Linked DNA regions of Kluyveromyces lactis. The main gene of each other region encodes a partner of the protein of the gene in region 2 in a complex. Links are inferred from orthologs where the notes say so. Each region holds a gene or a part of one and is shown on either strand. Other genes may lie near its edges.

The links.
Region 1: RRI1 (region 2) and CSN9 share a complex: the UniProt entries of both Saccharomyces cerevisiae proteins name them as parts of the COP9 signalosome-like (CSN) complex. The link is inferred for Kluyveromyces lactis from reciprocal best matches to the Saccharomyces cerevisiae genes RRI1 and CSN9.

What each region holds. Positions count from the first base shown.
Region 1 is NC_006040.1:1,529,820-1,532,198, forward strand, and holds CSN9 (Csn9p), read right to left. Parts: upstream 983-2,379; coding exon 506-982; downstream 1-505. Other genes in the region: NVJ3 (Nvj3p), read left to right, coding at 1,275-2,379. UniProt on the Saccharomyces cerevisiae protein: Component of the COP9 signalosome (CSN) complex that acts as a regulator of the ubiquitin (Ubl) conjugation pathway by mediating the deneddylation of the cullin subunit of SCF-type E3 ubiquitin-protein ligase complexes.
Region 2 is NC_006040.1:724,360-727,390, forward strand, and holds RRI1 (COP9 signalosome catalytic subunit RRI1), read left to right. Parts: upstream 1-1,245; coding exon 1,246-2,367; downstream 2,368-3,031. Other genes in the region: GDH2 (glutamate dehydrogenase (NAD(+))), read left to right, coding at 1-878; SWT21 (Swt21p), read right to left, coding at 2,351-3,031. UniProt on the Saccharomyces cerevisiae protein: Catalytic component of the COP9 signalosome (CSN) complex that acts as an regulator of the ubiquitin (Ubl) conjugation pathway by mediating the deneddylation of the cullin subunit of SCF-type E3 ubiquitin-protein ligase complexes.

The DNA.
Region 1 (2,379 bases), about 810 kb from region 2:
TCCAACCATATTATGCAATTATTATTTCTGTGTTCTCGTATTATAGAACACTGGAATTATTCACTTTTGATGATTGATTCATCGAAAGCTATCAAACATGCACCATCAGTATCTTGGTCAAGGGAGGCTTTAAGTTCATCATCGAAATACCCTCCTTTGCTATTTATTTATTATATTCTCAACGGACTCTAAAAGACTATGCAACAGTTCTAAGCCCTGCTAATCCACGAGACAATGACAACACCCGAACATGAAGTCACAATCACTTACTCAACAGGTTGCGCAACATTTTAATGGGATATTGAAATCAATGTTCCGGTCACAGGACGAGTTGTCTCGTACGTGTGGGGGGATTCTTTGACCTTTTCTAGCTCATCAGAAATGAAATTCATATAGCAATTAGTTGTTTAACGTATTTTTAATTAGAGTTCAATTAAAACCATCCGTTAAAATAAATTTACCGGAACCGCCGTAATGCAGAATTATCGGGCTTAAATCATTTTACTTAGTCAGTAAGCGAGCTTCTCCAGTTAATCAACGCAGAAAGAATGTTGATTTTGGACCTTACAGGAGTATGGAAAGGTACTCCCTTTTCACCACTGTAGACGTCCCTACTGATTTTATATTCCAGTACCGTAGCCCTTCTTGCTACACTGTCAATTTTCAAATCTACAAACAGCTCCGCACGTATGAGCAGCTTTTCCACCTCTCCATCAGTCTTTAAATCGCATTTCTCTTTAATCTCTTGGTAATTCACTTCAGTAGATAATTCACAGAGACTTAATAGCGATAGAACACGTAACTTATCCAGGACGAACTTATCAAGACCTGCTGTAGTCTCTTCCGGTAAGTCATCAATATCGTAAAAACAAAGAATAGCCAATAACTTGGTTTCTTGGGCATCTTTACATTCCATCCACCATTTCTTATAGTTTATTACCGTTTTGTCTTCTATCAAGTTACGTAGCAGTTCACGCATCATGAGCCACCAAAGATTTCCTAATTGATGAAGTGCTGGGAGTAATTGTGCTATGGACTCTAAACTCGAATGAGTTGAAGGTATTTTTTTTTTTTCCCGCTGCGCTTGTACAATTAAGGTTTTTCTGTTATGGCTAAGGTTTGGGAGCAATAGAATATTTCTACCAAAAACATCAACAAAACGTGAATGTCAAACAAAAAAAGGATGGTCGTTCCATTGAGAAATAAAAGGTTAAACATTGTCAAATAAGACTGAAGAATTGAGGTTGTGTCAGCTCTAAACTGGTTAAGCCGTAATGCCGACGATATTATACAGCTCAAATTCGAAGCAGCTATCAAGATTCCAGCGCAAAACCAAGATCAATGCAGAGCAGCTAAATACAAAGATCAACACGAACGACGCTCCGTTCATATCAGAACAGAATAAGGACTCAAGAGAGTATCTCATAGAACTATGTTGTTCAGTTTATCCGACGGAAATCCATTCGCAGATCTTTCGATGTCCTGATTGGAAACTTCCTTTACATGCCATCTTGGTACTACTATTGAAAAACTTCGTTACCTCATGGTACGGGGAGAAAATTGTAACATCGGACACCGAGCTTTTAGTACATCTGTATGAACTTGTTGATGATGTGTTAGATGATATTCATAATACAAATATTTTGTGGGAGCAAGTAATATGTGATGATTTACCCTTATTTGTAGAAACACAAGTTAAGATAATGAGAAGAGTGCTACAAGAACAGTTGTTATTAGATGACTTTTACCAGCTACAATTATACAAACATACTTACCCCCATGCGATTGCTGAAATTATAGTTGAGAGATTCAGTAGTGGTTCAAGATTGCATAATGCCTTTTTACGAGATTTCTTCGGTGATTTTTTACTAGACAAGTTGACTGAGAAGATTGCAGAGCCATTCATAGTGATAGACATAGTAAAATCTATCTGCGAGAGTCTTCTCAGGGAAAAGGCAGAGAACTGTAAGCTAAGGGATAGAAAAAACTGGATTCAAAAAATGATGCATAAATTATGGTCCACTTTTCAATTGAGCAATAAAGAGGTAACTACTAATCACGTTCTTCGAAGAATTGATCAACCCGACAGTGGATTTTTCAATCACTATTTCTTTTCTGCCATGAATGAGTGTTTTCAGTTAGAAACGAGAAAACCACTACTGTTTTTAGCGTTCAAAGTTTCCCAATTTTTTGGCACCAAGATTGCCTTTGTTTCAAATATAGCATCTCAAATATTCCAAAACATTGTGACACAGAGGGTGCTCAGTGGAGAGTGGCTGATTTCCTCCAGCTTGAAAGTACGACATTTGCTCTTTCCTCATGACAACAAAATGGGTCCTGTCAAGACTGCACCAAGCGCAAGTGAATTCGTGATTATGA
Region 2 (3,031 bases):
TTTCAAGTTACGACAAATCTAAACTTTCCAAGAAAGGTTTCTTTGTCTCTGTCGATGATATCGACGTCATGCTACCTAATGGTGTCCTTGTCGCAAATGGTACTACTTTCCGTAACACTTTCCATTATGAAGTTTTCAAGTTTGTTAACCATATTGACCTATTTGTGCCATGTGGTGGTAGACCAAATTCCATTGATTTGAACAACTTGCACTATTTCATCAACAAAGAAAACAATAAGAGTAAGATTCCATACATTGTTGAAGGTGCGAACTTATTCATTTCTCAACCAGCCAAGTTGGAATTGGAAAGACATGGTGCTATTTTGATTAAGGATGCCTCTGCTAATAAGGGTGGTGTTACGTCGTCATCTATGGAAGTTTTGGCTGCTTTATCGTTGAACGACGAAGATTTCGTCGGCAAATTTGTCAGTACTGATGGTAAGACTAATACTGAACTGTATAAATCTTATGTGAAACAAATTCAAGAAAAGATTCAGTTCAATGCTAGACAAGAATTTGGTCAATTATGGAAATTAAACAAAGCTACTGGTTTACCAATGTCTCATTTATCCAATGTGATCTCGGAAACCATCAACAAATTGAATGATGATTTAATTGAATCAGATGAATTATGGTCTAACGATTTGAAGTTGAGAAACTATTTGCTATTAAACAAGATCATTCCTAAGTTGTTAACCGACGTTGCTGGGCCAGAGCAAATTTTGAAACAAATTCCAGACTCCTATTTAAAGGCTTTGTTATCCAGTTATTTGTCCAGTCACTTCGTCTATGAGTTTGGTACTGATGTCAATATGGGTAAATTCTTGGAATACATTGGTAACCTTAAGAGAGAAGCAAGCGATTTGGAAATCGTTTGATCAGAAACTTGCATTGAAACTCTTTTGTATTTGAAAAAGGGGGAAGTAAAATTCCAAATGTATATATATTGTGTACGGATGTGATGTAAACACAGCAAGATGCAATACTTATTTAGTAAGGTAGTGTACTTAATCACTTACTATTTTAATGAATTCCTATCTGTAATGACAAATCTTATCAATTATGCGCTCTTTCTAGTACGAACATTTTGTGAAATTTAAGATTCTATTTTACTTCGAATTGTAAAGGCAAGTAGAAAGTAAACTTCTCGTGGAAGAATTAACAACAGTGGTTTACTAAGTATCATTTTTCATCAAGAGTGTCTGGCCGCTTGCCTGCTACACCTTAGAAGACTGGGAATGAGGAATGAGCTCCATAAAATTTCATGAGAAATCCTTGAAAGAAGTCACTCGATGGATTCAAGCTAACGAAGACATCAATACAGAAACTTCACTTTCCAGTTCTAGTGATTCAAGCACGACGATTCCTGTAATAGACCACCTACCAGCAAGAATCCCGTATGCTACCGATTTGAAACGAAATCCGTGTCACTTTCAGAAATGCCTTATATCAAGACTTGCTACTACAAAGATGTTATCTCATGCGGTTGATGGTGGAGATATTGAAGTTATGGGGATGCTAGTAGGATACACTAGCAATGATATGATAGTTGTCAAGGATTGCTATTCTTTACCTGTTCAAGGAACTGAAACAAGGGTTAATGCGCATATGGAATCATATGAATATATGGTCCAGTATTTAGACGCATTTGTCACAAAAGAAGATAAGATAGTGGGCTGGTACCACTCTCATCCAGGATATGGTTGTTGGTTGAGCAATATCGACATCCAAACACAGTCTTTAAATCAAAATTACCAAGACCCGTACCTTGCCATAGTGGTCGATCCCAAGAAGTCTTTATCCGGAAACACTTTGGACATTGGAGCATTTAGGACACTGCCGTCTAAAGATAACAACGAGCATGTTGATTATTATCCACTTAACATTCAATTATATCAAAACTCACTTGATGTTAACATTTCAAAATTAAAATTGAAATTCAAGGTAGATCCAGCAATTCAGAACAATCCTAACGAACCGGAACTAATGAAAGAGCTACATGAATGTGTAGAGAATTGGTTTCATGCCAAAAAAGTGATGAAGTCAACTGTAGGATTCAATGCTATCGGATCCACCGTGGTTAATGAAACTGAGATAGGAAATGAAGATTTTACACACGAGAGGTCCAATTCAATCTCCTCGACCTCTTCCTTAACCACAAGGCATACTACTGATGTAGAAATGGATGATCAAGAGAGTGCTCAAAGTAGTCTTGATATACCGGCCAATGTGATACCTGGCATGCAGTTTCAGGAGGCAGAGATAAAGCATGAATACGAACTGAAGAAGAAGAAACTACTCTTATTGAAGGTTAAGCAATATCAAAAGTTAAGGACCTACAGACAACTATTTAATGCATCCGAATAAGCTTCACAGATGTTTTTAATGTCATACCCTCATCATCTGCAAATTTATCAGTCGAGGTTGAAATAGCGAGGGTGTTTGGATCAACAGGATTCGTTGCAATGCAATTCACCCTTACATTCTCATCTGAAATAAGAATGTTATTCGTTGGCTTTATTCCAGTACCAGCGGTTTGAAGTGGGTCCAACCCACCAAATTCAATGCAATCTTTGTCCCAGCATGCAACCTGACCATCGTACGATCCAATTAACAAACCTTTGGCACTGTTCAAGGATGCCTTGAATTTCTGCTTACCAATTTTGAATGGAAGTTCCAGTATATTAATTCTAGATTTTAACATTCGTGTATCAATAACATCGATTTCTCTTGCATTACGTTTAATACAGTACAAATAATGTCCGTTATCCGACTTAATGACTTGGTAGATTCCATTTGACCACGAGTCCAATGAATCACGCTCACTTATTAGTTCAGATTTAGTACTTCTAGTATCAATTCGTAGCACTTCTGTTTTATAAGTACCAGCAAACCTGACATTGTCATGTACCTCGTTATATTCATCAAAGCATGATACGATAGCCTTCTGTGATGACTTCCCGCATGATTGTTTTGTCCACTGATGTTGCCATATCGGTTTATGTCGGTTGTAATCATACATAGTTATCCT